Linked DNA regions of Pelodiscus sinensis. The protein of the gene in region 2 binds, or shares a complex with, the protein of the main gene of each other region. Links are inferred from orthologs where the notes say so. Each region holds a gene or a part of one and is shown on either strand. Other genes may lie near its edges.

The links. The genes of interacting proteins can lie anywhere in the genome.
Region 1: GEMIN4 (region 2) and GEMIN2 share a complex: the UniProt entries of both Homo sapiens proteins name them as parts of the SMN-Sm complex. The link is inferred for Pelodiscus sinensis from reciprocal best matches to the Homo sapiens genes GEMIN4 and GEMIN2.
Region 3: GEMIN4 (region 2) and STRAP share a complex: the UniProt entries of both Homo sapiens proteins name them as parts of the SMN-Sm complex. The link is inferred for Pelodiscus sinensis from reciprocal best matches to the Homo sapiens genes GEMIN4 and STRAP.

Annotation. Positions count from the first base shown.
Region 1 is NC_134714.1:45,327,882-45,335,893, forward strand, and holds the start of GEMIN2 (gem-associated protein 2), read right to left. Parts: upstream 3,064-8,012; 5' UTR 2,920-3,063; coding exon 2,690-2,919; intron 1,273-2,689; coding exon 1,188-1,272; intron 1-1,187. UniProt on the Homo sapiens protein: The SMN complex catalyzes the assembly of small nuclear ribonucleoproteins (snRNPs), the building blocks of the spliceosome, and thereby plays an important role in the splicing of cellular pre-mRNAs.
Region 2 is NC_134731.1:4,455,239-4,462,840, forward strand, and holds the start of GEMIN4 (gem-associated protein 4), read left to right. Parts: upstream 1-4,593; 5' UTR 4,594-4,777; coding exon 4,778-4,787; intron 4,788-7,423; coding exon 7,424-7,602. Other genes in the region: GLOD4 (glyoxalase domain-containing protein 4), read left to right, coding at 404-505; diazepam-binding inhibitor-like 5, read right to left, coding at 2,644-2,904. UniProt on the Homo sapiens protein: The SMN complex catalyzes the assembly of small nuclear ribonucleoproteins (snRNPs), the building blocks of the spliceosome, and thereby plays an important role in the splicing of cellular pre-mRNAs.
Region 3 is NC_134711.1:112,442,449-112,450,298, reverse strand, and holds the start of STRAP (serine-threonine kinase receptor-associated protein), read right to left. Parts: upstream 3,064-7,850; 5' UTR 2,795-3,063; coding exon 2,683-2,794; intron 564-2,682; coding exon 428-563; intron 1-427. UniProt on the Homo sapiens protein: The SMN complex catalyzes the assembly of small nuclear ribonucleoproteins (snRNPs), the building blocks of the spliceosome, and thereby plays an important role in the splicing of cellular pre-mRNAs.

The sequences.
Region 1 (8,012 bases), on a different chromosome or scaffold from region 2:
GATAGGACAAGAAACAATGGGCTTAAACTGCAACAAGGGAGGTTTAGGTTGGAAATTAGGAAACACTTCCTAACCATCAGGGTGATTAAACAGTGGAATAAATTGCCTAGGGAAGTTGTAAAATCTCCATCTCTGGAGATATTTAAGATCAGGTTAGATAAACATCTATCAGGGATGGTCTAGATGGTGGTTGGTCCTGCCATAAGGGCAGAGGTCTTGACTCAATGACCTCAAGGCCCCTTCCAGTTCTAGTGTTCTATGATGCTATGGTTCTAACAGGCCTGGCTCTGGGGGAGGGGAGAGCACATAGGGCTCCGCACACTAGTTCTGCACTCCCATTGGTGGGGAACCTTTTGCTGGCTGCTTCTGAGCTGCAGCATGGTCTGAAGTGGCAGGAAAGGCAGGAAGCCTGCCTGAGCACCCCCACTGCACCACTGATAGGAAACTGCTCAAATTAAGCCCCTCCTGCCACAGTCCTGACACCCCCAAAGCTGGAGCCCCCTCCTACACTTTAAAGCTCTCATCCTCAGCCCCTCTGGAGCCCATACTCTAGTCAAATTATGTTGGGTTGTGGGTATCAACGATTTTCCTCAACCTCCAAGGCACATCCAGATGTGTGCCACTAGTAGAAAAACATGCTGCCAACTGTGAGGACTCTGCTAACCAGCTGGGTGGCATGTGAATCTCTCCTGGATGGACACCTGAGAACTTAGCTTACAGGGAACAATGGCAGGCTCTGGCTGGGATCCACTTATCTGGATCTGCAAGACTAGATTCCATTTACTTCTACAGATTGCTTAAATTCAGTTACTCTATGACATGGTTCCCAAACTGGGGGGGCGTCTCCCCCTGGGAGGGGGGGGTGAAGAAATTCAAGGGGTGGCATGAGGGCCCCCTCAAGTTTTGCTGCTATTTTTGTTTCTCATCCCCTATCAGTTCCTTCCCCCGCCCCCCCAACAAGTTTTGCTGCTATTTTTGGAGGGGGAGTGAAGGTTCCTCAAAAATCAAAAAGGGGGCATGATGCTAAAAAGTTTGGGAACCACTGCTCTAGGACATATCTAATGCATACACCAAGTATCCAAAAATGTTAAGAGACAAACATTTTAATATGAAATCAAAAGCTTTTTTCGTTTAACTATCTGTTTTTCTAAAAAAAGCTTTAGAATATATACACACACGATACTTACTGCAATGTTTACTGTCTGCTTCTTTCTCAACTTTTTGGGGTCTATCTGTGCCACAACAACATCTGGACATTGTGCTGCTTCAATCCTTCAAACAGAAATAAAAGGTTATATTTGAAATCCCTGAGCTGTATCCTGTAAAACCAGAAACAGTCACAGGTTGAGTTTTCATGAAGAGATACTGACCAAATTCAAAACACATGCACAATTCTTAAGTTATCAATGAGAATCTATCAAAGAAAGAAATGTTAAAAGCAAAAATATTTATTTGGAAGGGTTTTAAAACGTTTTATGAGTTTACAATGTAGACTACGAATGGTTGATAAGTGCCCCCATTTTACAGATACACAGGAGCGGCCTGAGGCAGGCTGCGGCAGCTGTTGCCCCAGGCGGAATGTGTGATTGGCGCCCCTGCCTACAGGGCTGTCAATGGACTGACGTCATCATCAGCCACCCCACTGAAGGCGGCGCCCTAGGCAATAGCTGAGTCCGCCTATAGTCACGGGCCACCCCTGCAGATACAAAACTGCTTAAAGTGAGCCCATGTGTGAGACAGCCATAAAAAAAATCCAGGGCTTCTGATTTCCAGTTTTGTGCTTTAGTTACAAGACCACTTTCCATCATAATCATAAGTAAAGATCACTATAATTTGCAGTTGTAGTTGGTAAAATAACATTCTGTGCAAAGCAATTTGTACCGACTACACCACTAGTCGATGAGGACCGCTATGCAGAACCACAGCAGGGGTAGCTCCAGAAGATGGTTCGAGCAAGGAGTGAGCAGTCCCGGCTCTTGCCATCTCTGGGAGCCACCCACGCTGCAGCTCTGCATTTTAAATATAGTAAGAGATGCAGGGCTGGGCTCTTTCTACATTTCAAATTTAGAGGTGCAGCGTCCCAGACCAACGCAAGCAAGAACTGCACCATCCCGGCTCATGCTGAGTTCAGCAGGGCAAATTGTATCGACTACAAGATTAGTTAGATAACCACAGTTTAACATCCTTAGACGTTAGAGACAAGGCAGCTAAAGGGTTTGGTAAATGGGTTAGGCATAGACGCAGAACCTGGCTCTCTCAATTCCCTGAACAGCACTTATTTCTTAAGGATATCAAGGCCACACTGCACTGTAAACCTGAGCTCAATTAGGACTCACAGGACCCCGGTGCTAGGACCGGCAGGTCTGAGCCGGAGCCCTAGTGCCATTCAGGACCAACCCCTATGATTGTGCACAAGAGCTACAGCTCAAGCCTAGGTCTGCAAAGGTCTGATCAGGGGCCGTACCCAGGTCCAGGGCGGACCCACAGGCGGGATCTGGAAACAGAGGAGACCCAGGCTGACAGAGCAAGGAAGGGGGCGGGGCGGCCCACAAGCGGGGTCTGGGGTCAGCCCCGCAGCTCGCTCAGCGCCCGAGAGCTGCCCGGCCGCGGCTCAGCTCCCCGCGCCCCGGCGGGCTCACAGGCCGCGCTGCCCTGGAGGGGAGCCCCAGCGGACCCTTCCCCCACTTACTGGACCCGCTTTAAATACTCCTGGGGCGTCCGCGGGGGCAGCGAGGGGTCGAAATCCTCCGTGAGGTCACAGTCCCCCACCGGCAGGAGCCGGGGCATCAGCTCCTCCGCCGCAGACTCCATCTCCGCGCGACGGCCCGTGCTGCCCGGGGGCCTCGCAGAGCGCAGGCGCGTGGAAGGACGCCGCTGACTTGCAAGCGCCGTTCGCGGCAGCGGTAGGAGACAACGCATGCGCACTGCATGTTTCCCCCCTGGCAGCTGGGCAGGCTGCCCATTCTGACGGCCGGGGTAGAGCAGCGCGCTGCCTTCCTTAGGGCTCCATGAAGTCTTGTCTGTATGCGTCTGGGCCCTTTCACCCCACGGTCCTGAGCTGAAGCGTCCCTTTGGAGCCTCCAGAGACCATCCGGTTGCATCATGTGGTCCTGGCCCCAGGCTGTAGCAGGCCCGCTGACTCCCGTGGCAACAATGATCGTGCCCAGGGTCATCTGCTGCCAGGAAGTGTATCATTTAGGATCATGACCAAAGCATGGCGTAAAAGGGCGTATTCCCTTTTAAACAGCATCGTGCCTTATTTTCCATATGCTCTTGGGACAAACGGAGGGCATTGTGATTTATTGCAAGTCACAGCTGCAGGACACAAGTCTCATCCCTTCACCCCCAGCGTGCAGAGACAGTGGCCATCTGCCCAGCTGCACCGTCCCGAGGAGCCCCTTCTAGCGCATGCTCATCCCCCCCCCTTTTCCCCAGAGGCTGGATCCTTTCCATAAACTACATCTAATTCAGCGCTCTGGCCACAGGCCCCAGAGCCTCTGCCCACCGATGGTTTAACAGCCCCTGCAGAACAGGGACAGTCTGCCCTTGTGTACCCTGAGGTGGCAGCTGTGGGTGGGTCCAACAGGGCAGGGTGGGAGCAGTCACTGTTGGTCCATCTTCTCTGGCTGCAGGGATGCAGTGAAAGCCTAGAACTCCTCTGGGTAGAAGCGCTTATACGCACTGATCTTGCTCTTGATCTGCTTGGGTGTGTCCTGGTAGTAGTTCTTCTCATCACGGGCCATTGCCTTATAGTTCGTCCTGGTTCCGTATCATGTGCTGCACATAGTCAATCAGGTCTCTGGAAAAAAACCTTTTTCAAAAGAATCCGTATTCCTCATTTTTTCAGGAATACGGGTTATTTTGAAAAAGGGTTTTTTTTCCCCCAAAGGATCCCGTCTAGGCTGCGCTTTCACTTTTGAAAAACCCTTTCTTGAAAAAGTGCTTGGATGCAAATATGCAAATGAAGTGCAGGATATTTAAATCCACGCTTCATTTGCACTTTCAATTTGCTTCATTTACATTCCTCTTTCGAAAAAGGAATGTAGTCTAGACATAGCCTGAGTTTGCTGTCACTATGGCCAATAAATGGCAAAATGAAATGTAACAGTTGGCCAACAGATTTATGTCTCATCATTGCCTTTAGGGGGACTGATGTGTCAAAGTGGAATGATGGATTGGGATTGGAGTAGAGAGTAAGAAGTTTCTACACCATCTTGGCCCCTATGAGAAAACCTCTTGAAGGGCTAACCTTTGGCTTAACATACAGAAACAACAAGCAATATTATATATACCAAACACACTTGTGCCCAGATAGTTCTGTGACGTTAATCTACAAATGGCAGAGCAATTAAATCATCAAAACTCCACTAAATCTAGATAGCTCTTTAATAATAATTTTAAAAGATCAAGGCAGTGTTCTCTAACCTAAATATCAGCATTAGCAAGTATTTTTTTCAACACCAGTGCTTAAGATTCAATCTTTCTCCATTTAAGTCAATAGAGGTTAGTAATTCTTTTTTTATTTCCAACCTGTCTCATCTAGCCGTTCTCCTTTGCTTTCTGCAGAAGGAAAGATAAGTGTAATTAGGAGGCTGATAGGAACTGGACTCTTAGGGCATGTCTACACAGCAGGGCTAAAGTTGAATTAAGCTACGCAACTTCAACTGTGTCAATTGCGTAGCTTAAGTCAAAATAGCTTAATTCGGCTTTTGGCACTGTCTACACAGCAGGAAGTCAAAGGAAGAACACTCTTCCTTCAACTTCCCTTATTTCTTGTGAAATGAGGGTTACCATGAGTCGGAGTAAGAAGTCCTCTAGCTTGACATTATTTCAAAATAAAGGCTTGTAGTGTAGATGCACACTATGTTATTTCAGAATAACACCAGTTATTCCGAAATAATGCTGCTGTGTTAGACATACTCTTTTAGACAGGGATCCATTGCCAGTGTTTTGGGCCATGTCTCAGAGAAATAAACTAACTTTACTACATCTTAAGACCAGTTGTTTTAGTTGAGGCAGCTGTTTTATTTTCTCCATCAAGTGAGAATACATTTCAGACAAAAGATGACACACGCACAGGATATCCTAAATGAAGACTAAGTGGTATTTAGAAAACAACAACATACGTTATAGAGAACTTACATAAAACTTTCCCAGTTCTCTGTGTCAAATGAGAATAATGCTACTTCCCTTCTCTGTAAGGGTCCTTGAGATCTATGGCTAAAAAGCTCTGCACTATTTAAATAAATAAAATAATAATAATAATAATTAATAACTCTAGGCAATGATACAAATAGCTTATGTACTTATTCCTGAAGAGTCAGTGCAAGGATTTTTAAATTTTACAGCACTTAGGTTGTTTCTTAGCTACAATAAATGCCCTATCTGAAAGGCACTTTTGGTTGTTTTTTCTATATTTTAGCAGTTCTGAACAAGCAATGACTTTCAGCTTTCCTCTCCATTCATTTTTATTTGCTTTTAAGGTGTTTCTCATAATTATTTATGTGTAACAGGCAGCTTTACTCTAAAACCAGGATGTAACTTCCTATTAGTGCACGTGACAAGTTTGAACATTGTCTGAAATAAAACCAGCTTAATCAAAACTACATTGGATTTCAGGAGAGTTTGACACAGTGGAAAAGATAAATCCTTAACTTTGTCAAAATGTAAATGGATTTTTTGAAAATATTCATATTTTAAGATCTATGACTTTACTTGGTGTGAAGACAAGAATTATAAAAACAAAGAGAACCAGGGACTTTGATGCAGCAAGCGTAAATGTATGCAACTTTTTAGTGATCTAGATTTTTTTTTCCCTAAACATTTCTAATACTGCTTTTTGAAGCAGAATAATATTATTTGAATTAACTACTTACTTTTAAACTTACTGTTACAGGAAACACTGGTGGATTTCCAAGGTCTATTAAGAGTATCAAGTAACAAGATTTAATAATGGAATTCATGAAATATCTGACAGAGCTCTATATGATTCAGTGGAGGAAGAAAAGAAAACAGCCAGAGCTGAATATTCTCTCTCTTTATCAATTGCCCTGGAGTTACAAAGGAGTAATTTCTTGAAGAAGAGGTGAGTTGCCACCCGTGGATGTGAACTGATGATTCAAAAAACTAACAAGTGAATCTGTAACATATTGCAATAAGGTAAGAAAAGCAAAGTGGAATTACTATGTATAGTAACACCAGGGGATAACAGATAAGAGATTTTCTGACTGTTGTTTTTGGACTCGTTTATCATTCCAATATGTATCTATGTGTTCATCCAAGTACTTTTGCTTCTCTCTAAGGTCCCCATCACTACAAAATCTGTGCATCTTCCTGAAGTGCTATTCAGGGTACAAGAAATGTGGGATTGAGGCCTTATAAAATATTTTTTTACAGTGACTGGTAACAAAAATATTTCATACTTCTTATCCTCAATGGGTTTTCACTATATTGTACCCTCCTGATTTTCCTCCTTCATCTCTGACCATTTTTCAGTGATTGTTGTCAAGTGCTCCTCTCTGATGAGGTTTACAGGGCTACGCCGGGGCTCTGTCCTTGACCCTCATTTCTTTTCTCTTTACACTGTTTCTTTGGGCAATCACTATAACATCTGAGTACTCTCAGAAACCATAATATTAAGGGAATTTTTCATCTGGTTTAACAGCATCTGACAACCAACTATTTGGGGCTCCAACCATTTTTTTTTGCATGATGGGGTATCTACACAGTGCATACTCTCAACTCACACCTCAATATTTCTTCCAACTGATAGTGGAATTAGAGTGTGTGGAGGAACTCAGAATTTCTCCATTTAGGAAACATGGGACCCTGTTTTGGTCTGCAAGCTCTTTTAAGATATGAAGTCAGCCCAGTCATTCAGACCATAAGATGGATAGTATTGAAAATAGTAGTTGTACAGGATTTCACAGCTAAAATACAAATAATAGATATAATGATGTTATGGTCACTGATATTGTTTCACTGATTCTAGGCGGTTATTATCATGTGACACGTTTTCAGATTCTCTGAGAAAAAATGCAAGCAAGATGATAGTGTTTTGCTCCCCACAATGAATAAAATTACTCAGAAAAGACCACAGCTTTTTAAATCCTTTCTCTCAGACTTGTTGGATAAAACCATTCTGGTGTGGTAACATTGCTTTGTAAATTTAATCACCAGTTCTTGGAAGAAAATAAAAACGGATACAGTAGCTTGTAGCCTAAACAAAAACTCTGATACATTGAGGGCTAAACGCTATTGTTGCTTGCTAAAGTATGTTGGAAAAATTGCATTTGAAAAGGGCAGCCCATAGCCACGCAGGGTCCCTGAGCAAATTGTGGAGGGACCAGCTCCATGCTTCTAGAAAGGGGTGGGCAAGGCCCTTAGTGCCTCCCAGACAATGGTCCCCTCCCTCAATGCTGTCTGGAGTGTGCTATGCAGTGCTCCCTCTTCCTCAGGCAGCCCTATGCCACCCAGAGCATGCTGCGTGTCACTCTGGCAGTGATTTAAATGTCTCTGGGGTTTGGGCATTGCCACTGCCACAGCATCAATGGCAGCAGCTGGGAGCTTCGGGTCCTTTTGAATCTCAGGGCCAGAGGACAGTTGCCCCCTTTTCTCTCCCCTCTCCCAATGGGCAGGCCTACATTTAAATGAATTCATTTAGGAACATAATCATAGAATCACAGAACTTGAAGAAACCTTGAAAAATCATCTAGTACAGTCATCTGCACTGATGGCAGAAGGACTAAGTATTATTTAAACCATCCCTGACAGATGTCTCTCTAATCTGCTCTTAAAAATCTCCAATGATGGAGATTCCCCAGTCTCCCTAGGCAATTTATTCCTGTGCTTAACCATGCTGTAAAGGACTTTTTCCTTATTTCTAACCTAGATCTCTCTTGCTGCAATTTATTTCCCTTTTTATTGTTGGGCACTATATTTACCCTTTTCCAGTTTTCTAGAATCTTTCCCATATTCCATAACTTTTCAAAGATAATGGCTAATGGCTCAGA
Region 2 (7,602 bases):
GACTTATCTCTGGAGGGCTGAGTCTCAGTTGCTGTTTGCTGAGAGGTTCTCAAAGCCCAGTTTGACAGAGTTTTGTTTTGAACATGTGCTGGATATTGCCCTAATCTGCCTTCTCAAGGGAGAGTGTCCAGGACCCTTTTGAGCTAGGAGGAAGCTAACTGTGGAAAGCTGTCACCCAATCAAACAATCGCAATAGTTCCCCTCAAGCCCCTTCATGTCGCCCTTGTCACTAGGATCAGTGCACCGTGTCCAGGCTGCAGCATCACTTTCATGTGGCGGGAGTGAAGCCAATCACTTTTAATGGTTTGTCAGTTAAGTCTGAATTATTGGTAACGGTTTAATAGATGCCCTAACCAATGCCTGGCCTATTCTGAAACTGAATGAGCCTCTACGCTGCTTGCAGTCTCTAATTGCCGCCTGCTGTACCCGCCTGCAAAGTGAAGCCAGGAGAGATTCAACCCGCCCCCTTTGTTCAGGTGAGTTACAGCCTGGGTGCTGCATGTGATGACCTCATAATGCTGAGGAATGCCTGGCTCAGTCCATCCCTGAAGGGGTGTGGGTGGGGGGGGTAAATCCCTTGTCCAGCTCTGCCAGGACGTGCTGCCAGATGCTTGAAAAGCTCTGCCTGGATGGAAATGCTTCAAACGCCACCCCACTCATGCGAACGGGCTGGGAAGATGCATTGACCACGCACAAAGCTACAGGCTCTGAGAGACGCACATGATCTGACTCTAACGTGATCTCACTCACTTTTGGTCTCACATGGTTGGATGTCAGCCAGTCAATGCACACAGCCCTGGGGGAAATTACAGAGCCGTGGTCTGCTGCCTAGATGCCCAAGCCATGAACAATGGCCCCGAGCAAGTCCCTATTTCAGACAGACGGCTGCTGTTTATGAACTTGGGCTTTGCCTACAGTGAAGTGTGGCTCCTGCTCTCTCCAGTTACACAGATTATAAAATGAACGCCCCCCCCCCCATGAAAAGCTCTCCCAGGGTGGTGATCCAATGCAAACGGCAACTGCTCACTGTTCTATATATTGTTATAGAGCCTGCTCATTCATATTGTCTGTGGTCCGATCCTCAAAGGCCTTTTAAGTGCCCAACTCCCCTTGACACCAAGGGGAATTAGGTGCCTTTTGAGGATCTGGGCCTCAATGCGTGCCAGTCGTGCCCAAAGTGACTGTTTGCCGTGTCTATTCTTTCCTCATCTCAGCGGCGGCAGTCGGGGATTCAGTGACTTGGGTTTTGTGTGGTTTTTTTAAACGATGTATGAGATGCCAACTTGCTATGTATCTGCTACAAAAGAAATACAGCTTGCACTTGAGGCAGAAGATGGGGGGGCTTGGCATGGCCCTTAGTAGGTGGGTTTATTCCACAACCAGGACTGGCCCACAAGACAGCTCTGTCTCCTGCAGTAGATGAGTTTCAGCTCCTGGGAAGGAGACCCCTTATATCTGAAGAGGCGAAGTAGCCAACTGCTGTCTTCCTCCCAACCCAAATTCCCTGCTGCTGTAAAGTGACTGACACTGTGGTTCTGCCCTCTTACAGCAGATGTGCTGCATGTGCAAATGGTGCATGGAAGGTTTCCCGTGTTACATACTTGGAACTGATCTTGTGTTGGATTTAGCAGTGCAAGTACCAGCAAATGGCAGCTTGGGCAGTGCAGAATTCCTCTGTCTTGCTCCCGGACCTCATCATTCTAATGACATTGTGATCTTGACGTAGCAATTAACACAAAATGAGGAGTGGGAGCTGCTGACCTCTCAGTGAGCCCCAAACATCCGATTTTTATTTGCACGTGTGTAGGAACAAACCCCCCCTTGCCTCCCCCGACCCTGGCACTCGTGGGAGAGGAACAGAACAGTTTCTAAAGCAAAGGTTTGCCATGGAGTGGCTTTGCGTGAGCTTGCCCAACGGCTGTGCTTCCTTAGGAACTGAGCATCAGCACAGAACCTGAAGCACTGAAAGTTTAAAAGAAAATTAAAGTGGAGAGGGAGAGATTGTGTCCGGATCACTCCTGGCCTATTCTGGATTAACGGCTGCCCGCTATTTGACCTTGTAAAGGCTGACGGAGGGGTCAGAGTTAAGCTCAAAGCCTGCAGCGTGTCTTCTCCACATCCCAGGGTTACGTATGTTGTTGGAGGGATTCTGGCAATGTGATTTCTTGTTGGTCTGATTTCTCCAAGCCCGTGTTAGTAATGGAGAAACTGTCCAGTATGCTGTAAACTGCACACAAACCAGTCCAAGTTACTTTATGTACCATGCGCTTGAGCAGCACTTGTAACTACAGTAAGTGCAACATTGTCAGACTGTACTGTGATTTTTTCCAAGGGAGGGTATGCCTTTAAGCAAATACACAGGCTTGTTAAAATAAGCCTCTTAAATATTGCTAGGAGTTACCAGGAATCGTAAACAATGACTGGACTAGCCTTAGCCCGAACTAAACTTCCACCTTGTAGAGACTCTCAAAGGCTGCACGCTACGCACAATTTGTCAGTCATATCCACTCTGTTGTTTACTAGAGTTTTATTGGCTTAGCAGCGACATGAGCTACATTGCTCTGAGGATGAGAGGAAACTCCCTAGCAGCAACGTGGGGTCAAAAGACCTTCTAATGGCACGTGGCTGCATGAATGTGTAATTTTACACTCCGTATTTTTTTTTCAGCTCTTCAGCTTTTGCAATATAATTCATGGCATCAGCCATGCTTATCCCCTTGTGTGCATTCCCGGCCTCCCATTTGGCTTTGCCTATTAAATCGGTTGCACAAGGGCAAGGGATGTTGATGTCCCTGATTGTGGCTTGTTTGCAGAGACTGGAAATCTCCAGTTTATCTTGGTCTGAGATTGGGTCCTTAATTTGCCTGAGCAGAGCAGCAGCTTTCTCAAATTCCACCTGAGACATGGTGAGAGCTCGGAGTCAGGCCTGCTCCTTCCTTCCCCTGTGGAGGGCTTGCCAGGACTCGCAACGGCTGACCCAGGCCACGACCATTGGAATGAAGGAGAGTTGCAACAGGGGAGGAAGGCTTTGAAGTGCCCCCTTGAAAGACAGTTCAGCTGCCTTTAGCAGGAGCAATACGATTTTCAAAAGGCCTTAAAATTAAATCCCAAGTGTAGAGGAGTTAGCAGGTTTTTTACAGACAGTTCTTCTTGGGGCTATCATTACTTTCCCCTTGGGAGACAGGCTCTTGGTGTCTTTCTATATGGCTGTTGTCTGCTAGGAGGAAGGTAACCCTGTGCGTCTATATTGGCAATTTTCCTAGGAAATAAAGCACTGTTGCCTGTTATGCCATTTGGGCTACGTCTAGATTGCATCCCTTTTTCGTAAAAGAGATGCAAATTAGACGTATCGCAATTGCTAATGAAGCAGGGATTTAAATCTCCCCCGCTTCATTAGCATAAAAATGGCTGCCGCTTTTTTCGGCACGGAGCTTTGCCGGAAAAAAGCGCCAGTCTAGACGCAGATCTTTTGGAAAATAAAGCCTTTTCCGAAAAATCTCTTATCCCTCTTAAAATAAGCGATAAGGGATCTTTCGGAAAAGGCTTTATTTTCCGAAAGATCCGCGTCTAGACTGGCGCTTTTTTCCGGCAAAGCTCTGTGCCAAAAAAAAGCAGCAGCCATTTTTATGCTAATGAAGCGGGGGAGATTTAAATCCCTGCTTCATTAGCAATTGCGATACGTCTAATTTGCATCCCTTTTACAAAAAGAACTGCTTAAAGAACTGCTTCCTAGAGTCCTGATTATCTCACATACTCAGTTTTCAAGTAAGAGGGGTAGAAAAATGTTACGTTTCTATTCCTGGTCATGGCAGAGAAGAACCTGAGCATGTGACTCTTCATGAAAAAGCTGGAAGCTACAGGAAAATAACTCCAATATTTCTTATTAAAAGTTATTTTTTATGGGGCCTGACTCAAGAATTTGGAAAATAGCCACAAACAAAACCCTACCGTGAATTTTTGTGCTTGGAATGAGTCAGTTACATGTAAACAGTTGTGAGTTATGCTGGGGAGCTACTCCACCCCTTTTGTGCTATACTCAAATAGGTATTTACAAAGTGCCCCGCCACTGCTGTATGCAGCTAAGCAATGCAAACTTTTCTATTGGTTGAAGTACTTCTCTGTCCCAAGGGCTACCTGCTAGTCGGCTTGTTAGCTAGTAGGTTGAAGTTAAGTTCCTTAAGAGGCCTGGTGCTGGGCTGTCCCCAGGCTCGCTGCAGCTAAAAGATCATGGCCCCGTATCTCCTAAAACCGAGCTGTTTCTACTCTCAGATGCCGCAAATTCAGCCCAAAACGTTTGAACCACCGGGTGTTAGGGGGGGTGGCTCCTCCCTTTTCTCTTTGTTAAAAATGAGGATGCTCTTTTAGATGGTGGGAGGGGATCTCTGACTCCCAGCAGCAGGGTGCTCCTATCCCTCGGGGTGAGGGAATCGGAAGGGTCCTTGTGGACCACAAAGGGGCAAATCCCCCCTAGAAGGGAGCAGCGAGGCATCTCCCTGCCCAGGGCCCACGCGGGGCAGGTCCCTGCGGGGCGGGGGGAGCCTGCCAGTGTCTCGGTGCGGGCAGCAGGGGGAGCCAGCGGGACCCCAGCCCGGGAGCCAGGCAGAAGCGGGGGTGGGGGAGCTGCCGCCCGGGCAGCGCCCTGCGATCTGCTGCGTGCGGGGGCTGGTGCCTGCGGGGGGCGCGGCCACGTGGGTCGCAGGCGGCAGGTCGGGAGCGTCACAGAGCCGGGCGTGCCGGGCTCACGGGCACCGCCAGCGCGCAGCCGGCCCGGCCGGGCCATGGAGCTAGGTGGGTGCGGGGCCGCCCCGGGGGGGGGGACACACGCGGGGCTGGGGGCGGGAGCCGGGGCTGCAGCGAGCGGCCGGGGCGGCGCCTGCAACCTGCCTTAGCCGCCTGCTCGGCGCCGCTGCCCAGGAACCCCCCCCCCCGCTCGGGCCTAGGCAGCCTGCTCCGCGTGCGCCCCCCCCCCAAAAAACTCGCTTCTAAGGGCGGCTAATCCCAGCCCCCCCCCCCCAACCGCTGGGCTGAGCTCGGCCGGCAGCTGTTTCCACTTGGGGCGCTGCCAGATCCCTCGTGGCTCCCGCTAGAATCCCCCCCAGCTTCACTCCCCCTCCTGCAGGAGCTGCCTGCCTGCCTGCGATGCCCTTTGGGGTGAACAGTCAACCTGTGGAACTCCTTGCCAGAGGAGGCTGTGAAGGGTAGGACTGGAACAGTTTTAAAAGGAGCTAGATACATTCGTGGAGGTTGGGTCCATAAAAGGCTTTTCGCCGGGGTAGGAATGGTGCCCCTGGCTTCTGTTTGTCAGAGGCTGGAGAAGGATGGCAGGAGACAAATCGCTTGATCGTTGTCTTCAGTCCACCCCTTCTGGGGCACCTGGTGCTGGCCACTGTCGGCAGACAGGATACTGGGCTAGATGGACCTTTGGTCTGACCCAGGACGGCCGTTCTTATGTTCTGGGAGCAGGCAACGGAAAGACCCAGAGAGTCGCAAACAGGCACCCGCACCCTGCAGGGAAACCCCATGTGCGTGGGAAAACCCGGGCCAGGCCCCTTGGGCTGGGCGCTGGATTGGCAGAAGCATTTCCAGGGTGATTGGTGCAGCTCGGCTTTTCAGCATGTTAGCCCCCCGACTCCTGGGTTTGACTTCCCTGGACGCAGGCCGAGCTTTTCCTCTGTGGTGGGCAGGGTGGCTGCCGGGGGGTCCTGGGCGCAGCTCCCCTTTTAGGCTGTGTGAAACCCCACCGTGCGGGTGAGTCTGTGACACGGCTTATCCCGCCTGTGCGCCTCGCCCATGAGGGTTGCTCCCCGGCCCGGAGGGAGCCGCTCTCGGAAGAGGTGCCGAGTGGGCTCCAAGTCTCCCCGTTCTGCACTGAGGTACAACACCCAAGCCAAGGAGACAGCGGCTTTAGGAAACGGCTCCCTTGGTCCTTCCTCCATCCCCTCCTGCACCTTTCCCCTCCGTAGCCGTGCAGGGAGTTTCACAGGTTCAGACCTCAGCTCACACCAGCCCTTCCTCTTCTGGGCGGACAGAAACTAGGGATGTGAAAGGTTAACGGGTAAGCCTTAATGCAGCCAAGCCTTAATGGGTGAGGCTTACTGGTTCCAGTTAACTGGTTGGACTGGAGCAGCTCCCCACCCACTGTGGGCAAGGAGCTGCTCCAATCCCACAGGGCCCACCGTGATCAGGGGCACTCCGGCTTGGCCTCCTGCCCCCTCCTTTAATCAGTTAACCAGTTAAACGCTACATTTAACCGGTTAACCAATTAAATGGGATTTTACATCCCTAGTAGAAACCTTGGGTTCTCCGTGTGAGAGAGAAAAATGGCAGAGAGGGATGTGATGGTCTTAGAAACCAGCCCCCTGTTTGCACCAATCCCGTGGTACGCTTTGTAAGAGATGTCCCCACCCCCAGCTGGCGGGTGGGTGTTGGTACCCATTGCCCCAGGCCTGCCTGCGTTTCAGGGCTGTATAATTTGTGAAGTGCTTTGGGATTCCAGGGTCTATGCGCAAACAGGCTGATATTACAGTCCTCGGCTAGGAAGTATCCTCTTCCCTACGAGCTACTGCTGCATCTGCCTGTGGGTGTGGGTGTAACCCTCTTCCCCGCTGCTCAAGCCCTGTGCTAGCCCAGGCGCTACCGCGACGTGAGAGCTAACTGTTCTGTGTCGTGGGTGTGTCTTGTTCTCTTTGGAGTTCAGCGCAGTTGCACTCTCTCTCTCATCCCAAGAGCGGGGAACTTGGTGCATTAAGGGTTGTTTTTCCCCTGTAAAAGGGAAGGTTGAATCTTTTAGTTCCTTGGAGCATGGGCTGTAACAATTCATTAACGTTCCTCAGTATTAGTTGAAGTGAACTATTTGGGTTATAGCAGAACCTTGTGCTAGGCGCAGCGTGTACGCATAAGAGACGGTGCCCGCTCCAAAGAGCATAAGAACGGCCAAAGGTCCATCTAGCCCAGTGTCCTGTCTGCTGACAGTGGCCGATGCCAGGTGCAGAGGGAATTAACAGAACAGTAATCATCAAGTGATCCCTCCCCTGTCATCCATTTCCAGCCCCTGACACACAGAGGCCAGGGACACCATCCTTACCCATCCAGGCTGATAAGTATTGATGGACCTAACCCTCCATGAATGTATCTAGTTCTTTTTTGAAACCTTTTTAAAGTCCTGGTCTTCACAACATCCTCTAGCAAGGAGTTCCACAGATGGACGGTGTGCGGTATGAAGAAAAAAGCTTGCAGTCTAAGGAGATGAAACAGGATGTATTGCTAGCCCCATTTTATAGACTGACTAGCTTAAGATCAAACAAGGAGGATATAGTAGAGCACTGAATCCAGATCTTCTGAGGCCAGTCTAATCACAAGAACAGCCTTCCTTTCAGGGTTAATTGCCTTCATGACTCTGTGTGTGTGTCCTTCTCTTTCAACAGGACCCTTGAACATCTGTGAGGAAACAGCCGTTCTGCATGGCGGTTTCCTGCTAGCTGCGAAGTTGTATCATCCTAAAGCGTTGACCGAGTTGGCCAAATCTGACTGGTCCTTGGTCGGGCCGCCCATAACGGATGCCTTGAAGGAGATATGCACCAGGTGTTCCTCTCCCCCAGCCCAA
Region 3 (7,850 bases), on a different chromosome or scaffold from region 2:
TGTTTTCGAGAACTACACTGCTCAAGAGGCTGAGAAACAGCAGAGAAGGAAAGAAACTGTGTAGTATTCCAGTCAGCAATTGTGCCCTGTCTCTCCAAGCAACCACCTGTTACACATGTGGAAAAACCTATAAGCCATAGATTGGACTCTGCAGTCATTTTAAGTCCAGTCAATTACTTTTTTCCCCTGGCAGACATCATCCTCAAGTCAAGGGACAGCTGATAATGACAATTAACTACTATTACTGTACTTGAATAAAATACCCAAACCCTCAGTTTCTAAATTTTCCAGGTACACATCTGTAACTAATGGTTTATTAAAGGGTAAACACATAAAACAGCAATTGTTTTAAAACCACAATTCAGAAAAACCACCACCACAAGATGAAATCACAACAGTTGAAATTTCAATGTTAATCATTACTTACGCTGTAAAATCTGCAGCTGCTGTAGCTGCTTTAGTGGCATCCTTATTCAGAGTGGCACCCCAGACAGCACCTTTATGACCTAGAAATGTTCCAATCCAGTCTCCTGTGTCACCCTGGCGTAACATAGGTTTACCATCTAGGCAAAAAACAGATAAATTTTCAGACAGAACAGTTTTATTTTACTTAACAGCAAGCATAGTCCATGTACACTATTCTAGAAAAAAAAAAGAAAATACCAGTGCACTCTGACAATAAAAATGTGACATACTTTTAATGCAATATATTTTGTTACCAATTTAATAAACATGGATCTTTAATTCTGTATCTGTACAAATAAGGACTACTTCTTGCTATGTACAGCTAACAAAGTGGTACCATGATTTTGGCTGGGGCTTTTAGACACTACTGCAATACAAATAATACAGTTTTTCTGTGTTTCAGTTCCTTCAAAAATCAGCCATTTTCTTTCACAGTACATTTGTTTTAGTTTAACTATATTAGAACCTGTTTTTGATGCCAACACTAGTTGCACAACATTTCACTTTAAAATTGTCTTATACATAGATTACTTTTCAGATATATATGGCAGTTGTTTAAAACTAAAGATCTAGAAAGATTATTGCAGAAAAAATACAACCCGGACTAAATAAAAGATCCAGGAGTACTGTCAAAAAAGGAGGGAAGAGAGGAGTATAAATAAATAAAATGTGCATGTATTTGGTGGGAGGTTGGCATCTTTATTTTTGCAAGAGAGCCCTGCTGAAACAGGATATGAGCATGAGGAAAAAACAATTCGGTGCTGCTAATGTACAGCTATATGAGCACTCTATGTCCAATTTATTGCCAGTTAATTTATTTGAAAAATATCTCACTTTATAATCCATCCACCATAGGAGTTGAAGGAGGCTAGGCTCACAGTAACTTGGGGAACTGTATATTCACCTGATGACAATGCCTAATTTTAGAATTTAAAAAATTCACTAGCCAAATGTTTAAGTCTCTAACCCTTAAGATTATGATAAGAACTGTTAAGATGTGAACTGAACACAACTCAGCCAGATAATGGAGTAATGACACACTGAGTATGCAGACAATCTAAGGCAATTTATGCAGTTTCAGCATTCTTTCCAACTTGCTAACACTTTAACCTGAGGTGGTTCCAAAATATCAGTAACTGGCAGGTATTTCACTGCAGACCTAAGCGTACCTGGATAAGGTTTACAACTACATAACAAACAGCTATGCAACCTGAGCTCACACTTATTGGGAATGGAGTGTGACACAATATAATCAAAAAACAGGACTATGTAGCACTTTAAAGACTAACAAGGTGGTTTATTAGGTGATGAGCTTTCATGGGCCAGATCCACTTCCTCAGATCAAATAGTGGAAGAAAACTGTCACAACCATATACACTAAAGGATACAATTTAAAAAAAATGAACACATATCTCTCTCCCCCCCCCCCCCCAGACTGAATTCTGGGGCTGCCTCCATCCAAGATGGGTTACTCCAACATCCATCCCAGGGACAGTACAAGGCATCAGTCAAGTTTTTAACTCGCATGCGAGGATTAGGATTTAAGGCAGTGGCAGGCAGGCAAGAAATGTTCTAGGGGATGAATCCAGCCAACAAAGCCTTTCAAACTGGGCTGCAGCCCATCCCACTGGACCCATAGGCAGGGAGCAGCCCCATGGTTCAGAGCAAGCTGGCTGCTTCATCTACCCTTCTGTGCTGTTGTGGGAGGAGTGGGTACTTTGTCCACTACAAACACCCCTCCTTCACCCAAACTCCTTCTCAGACCCCACGCCCTCTCCTGCACCTCAATCCCCTGCCCTGGAATGTGCTTCTGCACCCAACCTCCATCCTAAACCCCCACCCCTTCTGTAGAAGAGCTTGGCCCTTGACCACTTACCAAAATTTTGGAGTGGCCCCCCTCATCAAAAATCATCGCCCTGGTTTACGGTGTTGGGGTGTCCCCCAGGTCACCTGCCTGCCCGTGCCCACAGCGCAGGGCAACCCAACTAGAGCAAAGGAAGGGGGGAGCGTCTCCTGCGCCAGTTTCGGGGCTCAGGCAGCCCGAGGGAGGCCGCGCACAGACCTGGGAGCAGATCAGAGACAAGCGGCCCCGGGGCAGCGTCGGTTGGTTCCCGGCCAGAGGATGGATTTGCCCCCCCCCCCCGCGCTGACTAAAGCCAGGAGCGCGCTGCCGCCAGCACACACCCCCCCCCCCCACGCACCCGCCCCCGCGCTCACCCTTGCAGGCGCTGATGAGGAAGAAGCCGTAGGGGGTGATGTCGCTGAAGGCCAAGTCCACCACGGGCCGCGTGTGCCCGGAGCACGTCAGCGGGGTCTGCCTCATGGCCATGGCGGCGGCGGCGGCGGCGGCTCCGGGCAGGTTGAGGGAGGGCGGGCGGCGCGCGTGGGACGGGCGGGAGGAGGGCGGCGCGCGACAGGCACAGGCCGGGCCCACGAGCTAGGCCGGGCAGAAGGAATGGGAACCAATGGCGGCGGAACTGACGACACGCCGGAAGTGGGAGCCCGTCGCCGGAAGTGATGCGTGCCAAGGGCGGAAGGGAGGCGAACGCTCACCGTTTGTGCCCCTCCGATCTTTCCGCAAGTGACGAGCCTCTGTGTTATCCCCGCGCGCCCCCTAGCGGGTCGGAGCAGTCGCCGCTCCTTCCGCCCCTCCCCGAGGCGAGCCTAGGCATCGGGGGGAGCGCTGCGGGGTTACCGTAATGCACCGACTAGCAGGCGAATGGAGCGGGGCCGCTCCTGGTTGAAGGCAGGCGGGGTAAAGGCAGCGCCAGGCTGCTGCGACTCCCACCCAGCAGCTGCCTCCGCCCCTGTCCCGAGCCAGGGGGCAAAGCCAGATGGGGGGGGGGGGAGCAGGATGTGGGGTCAGATGCCCGGGGAGCAAGTGCCAGTGGCTGTGCCCCTGCAGGCAGCCGGGCTGGGGACTGTGCTGGGTTACACCAGTCATCACTGCCCGGGCACTGAGTGCTGGCCGGGGGTGTAAATCTAGCACAGGTGGGTGGGGCATGAGCAGGAGGCAGGAGCTGGCAAGCCATGGCTAGGGATGTTAAATAGCGTGTAATTGAATCGTCATGTAACCACGTCACATCTTAGACGTTACAAAACTATTCTATGATCCATGGTGGCGGAGCGACAGCCAGTGCACTCCTGGCCCCACTCCTGGGGAGCCCCCTGCCATCCTGCACTGCTGCCTTTCTATCAGCATGGTGACAGGCAGGTTTAAAAGCCAGCTCCTCTCGTGGAGTGGCTGCCTTCCACCGCGCACTACTGCCCGTGATACAGGGGCACCAGCGTGAGATGGTAGCAGCCCCTGTCTGCGGGTTGTGATCTCTCCGCAAAGAGCAGTCCCTGTTCACAGGGAGCTTGGAACTCCATGGGCGGGGCTGCTGTCTAGGCTTATTGGTTAATTGCGTAGTCCTCTAACCGTTGACATCCCTACTAATTGCAGAGCCCAGCAGACGCACCCCATTGTCTCCTTGCTTCTTAGTAGAAGCCTCTAGTGTGAGGTAGCAAATCTCATCCCCTTGGACAGGTTTGACTGAGTTTTCTGATGTCTCCATCAAACCCACTGCGGGAGGAGTCAGGACTGAAGTGAATTTCTAAGTTCAGTAGCTCTAGAATCAGACTCATTCTGTGACTATCTCTGGAGATTACAGTGGCCTCCTATCCCATTGTTAGGGTTTATGTCATGTGCGGCCTGATCAGCACACAGCTGCAGCTCATGTGACTTGCTCAGGGCTAAATATAAGTAATTAATTATATATATATATATATATATAATGTGAATGCATCCTAGGTGTCACAGAGCTCTACATACATAGCCCACAGTGTTAAATCAGTTGAGACCCGCTTATCTAGAGAGACATGGTGAATGAGAATGAAAGTGACATATTTAGTTTGCATTGTTCTCAGTTTATATATTTCTGTAGTAAGGAGACAAGATTTTTAAAGTCCAGCATTCAAACACTTCTGTGTATTCCCATCACAGGGAATATGGGCTGTCTTTGGTGCTTTTCTTGTGAAGAGCTTTTAGAATTGGAGAATATTTATCTCTGGCTTTCTGTCTTACTGGAACTCTAAATCTTTTCCTATCCAGCACTATCTTTTGCCTCTACTTTTCTCTCTCCCATAACCACATGCCTTTAAAAAATTAGCTTGGTCCATGTACTGTGTTGACTCTCAGCACAGCACTTTCCCACTGACATGTAGATTCATGGGAATGTGAGAGGGACTTGGATGGAAACTAATTAGATAGAGGAGACTAGATATCTAGCTGTTTATACTTAAAACAGGACAAAACATCTTTTGCTTTCATACTATGTGGGAATCTGTGCTGTTCAGAGGGCTTAATTTCAGTATTAAAAATTAAGACATTCATGTTCTATCTTCTAGATCAGGGCTATTCAACTTTGGAAGCACTGGGGACTACAATGATACTCACAGCGCATGCGGAGGGCCACAGCTTAAGTGTGGTTGCATATAAAGCTAGTGCATATAGGGGAGGGATAGCTCAGTGGTTTGAGCACAGGCCTACTATCTCAATAGTTGTGAGGTCAATCCTTGAAGGGGCCATTTAGGAATCTGTAGCAAGTCTGTCAAGGATGGTACTTGGTCCTGTCATGAGAGCAGGGGACTGGATTTGATGACCTCTCAAGGTCCCTTCCAGCTCTGTGAGATAGGTATATCTCCAGATATTATTATACAGCCTCTCACCGAGTTACGAACGAGTTACAGACCAAACATTTGGCCGTAACTCGATCTGTTCATAACTCAGATCCCCATTGAGTTACATAGTGACTGTGCTGTTTGTAAGCGCAGGTTGCGTTCATAACTCAGGAACTGCCTTTACGACTGCTCCATGGGAGCTTTGGTTGTAAATGCAAATGGTTGTGTTGTAACTTGAATGTTCGCAACTCGGGGACCAGCTGTATATGCAAAGAGCTTCTTACATACTGATAGGCATGAATACAAAGCCCTTCCCACAATGCCCCAGTACTCCTGGAACCTCCTCCCTGGGAGCTAGAAATGCCAACACCCTGTATCCTTCTGTTCCAGCCAGCCCGTCTGCTGCCATCTTTCAATGCTCACCCCGCCTGGGAGCTGCCTCGCCATTGTGGAGCGTGTTCCTAGTGGAGGCCATATTCAAGGGATCCCACCTGTGAGTTGCGTTGCATATTGAGCCCCGTGAAGGGGTGGCCTATCCATATAGGTGAACTAGGAAGTTGCCTGGGGCACCAAGTTAAATGGGTCTCCAAATGATGGCACAATATCATTGAGGGGTTTGGGTTTGGAGGTGGGGGCGCCGATTGCATGGTTCACCTAGGGCGCCAATTGCTGGCAGCTAGTTTAGGACCACCCCTGGCTCCATGTAAACCCAAACTGCACCCCAGGCTGCAAACAAAGGGCCGTGTGTTGAGTAGCCCTGTTTTAGATTATATTTTAGAGTGCCTGTGGTTTCTCAGCTATAAGTGGTATATCCCAATTTAATTTAAATGTATTCAGTTATTTCGTTTAGGTAGAAGAAAGTTTATACATTACTCATGCTTCTTTAGCTGCTTAATTGTTACCTGGTAAATTTAACTTGTTTTGTTAGGTCTGGGAACAATGCATTTTAATTAAAAGCCAGATTTTTAATTAATTATTTTTTAATTTAAAAAGCCCTTTTGTAATTGTCACGGAAGACTGATACAAACTGAAAAAAAAAATCCAAGGTCAAAGCTGAATCTAAAGACACTGGAACACTTGAAGTTAAAGCACCAATGACATTACAGACAAGCTGTGCACAGAAATGTATGGCTTCAATGGTCCCACAGGTTTTATTAATTTTCTTTAATTTTGGACTACAGTTAACCCTCTGCACAAAGCAACAATATGATCTCTAATTGGGGAGATATAAAACTGTTATGATAGAGAAAGGCATAAATATCTGGAACATGATGAAATGCAGATGAAAACTGTGGAGATGTCAAGTTTATTACATTCAGACTATATTAAAATCTCACCCGGCCAGAAAAAATAACCCTGTAACTGCTTGTCTCAAAACCAGAAAATATATCCATAAAAATTCAGCTGTTGGTGCTTTATATAGATCCTACCATTAATTCTATAAACCAGGGGTTTCCATGTGCTGCAGAAGCCTGAACATGTTATTAAAGACCATGACGGTCGTTGCTAAGAGCCTTATCTGCAAGACCTTACTATCAAAGGCCATGAGTTAGCCTATTTTCTGCAGTAGCTGCACTTGGTGCTAAGCATTTTTAGGACTGGACTTTATAACTTCAGATAAACCAAATAGATATGAACAACTGAAAAAAGGATTCAAGCTATATGGATCCTAAATTATGTTCAGCATTACTTTAGTGGGTCCTGATAAAATAGGCTATGGAAGACTATCTTCCAAAAACTGTCTGACTTTTGTCTACTCACTGAAGCCATTTACATTTCTGGCCACTGAAACTTTTACAGCAGGAGGACAGCTTATGTTGAAATAGCACTGTTCTCCCAAGCAGATTTCGTATTGTTTCATGTGATTGAGAAATAGATAGCAATGTATAAACCATAGACAGGAATAACTTTATATGCCTCTGAAACAAGCTACATCATTGTGAAATGCAGCAGCACTTTAATGGTAGCTCACTGCAAGTGAGCAATATTGTATTTAAAGAGAGGTGGGTTTTTGACATGCATAAAATTATCCTAGTTTGGGACACCACATTTAACACCAAAAGAATTCTTATAGAAATCACAACACAATCTTTAATGCCCACGCAGCCAGCCAGGTCCTCAGTTTGAGAGTATGTCTATACTACAAATGCTAAAACAATGAAAGATGTTTTTCTATTGCTGGAGTAAATCAACCCTCTTAATAGGCGACATTGATGGATGAATTTTACACTTAACCTAGCAGTGTCTGCTCTGAGCCTTAGCTTGAGTTAACTACATCCCAAGAAGCAGTGAGTTTTTCACACCCCTGGGTAACATAGCTAGGTTAACCTAAGATTTAAGTGTAGATCAGACCTTGTATCTCATCTGAGCTATTGTAGTACCAGCAGTACAGTGCCTCTTAATGTAGTATTTATTTACTACTGATATAAAACACATGCCTAAGTACTATAGAGACAAATGAAATCATAATAAAAAACTGTATCCTGTGTTTGCCTGCCACTTGGAGAACTCCCATCTAAATAGTAACAGGCCTAACTTATGCTAGTCCTAAAAAATAGAGGAAGCATGGAAGAGGAGAAGGTTAGGAAAAGCAGAGTAGGATTACTTATGTAGGTTACAATTGTTAAGCATAGCATAGAAAATAAAACTGGGTAATTAAAAAAATTAGGAGTTGTATCAAACTCTGACAAATAAACTCACTGGTAGAATAGCCTTATAACTCA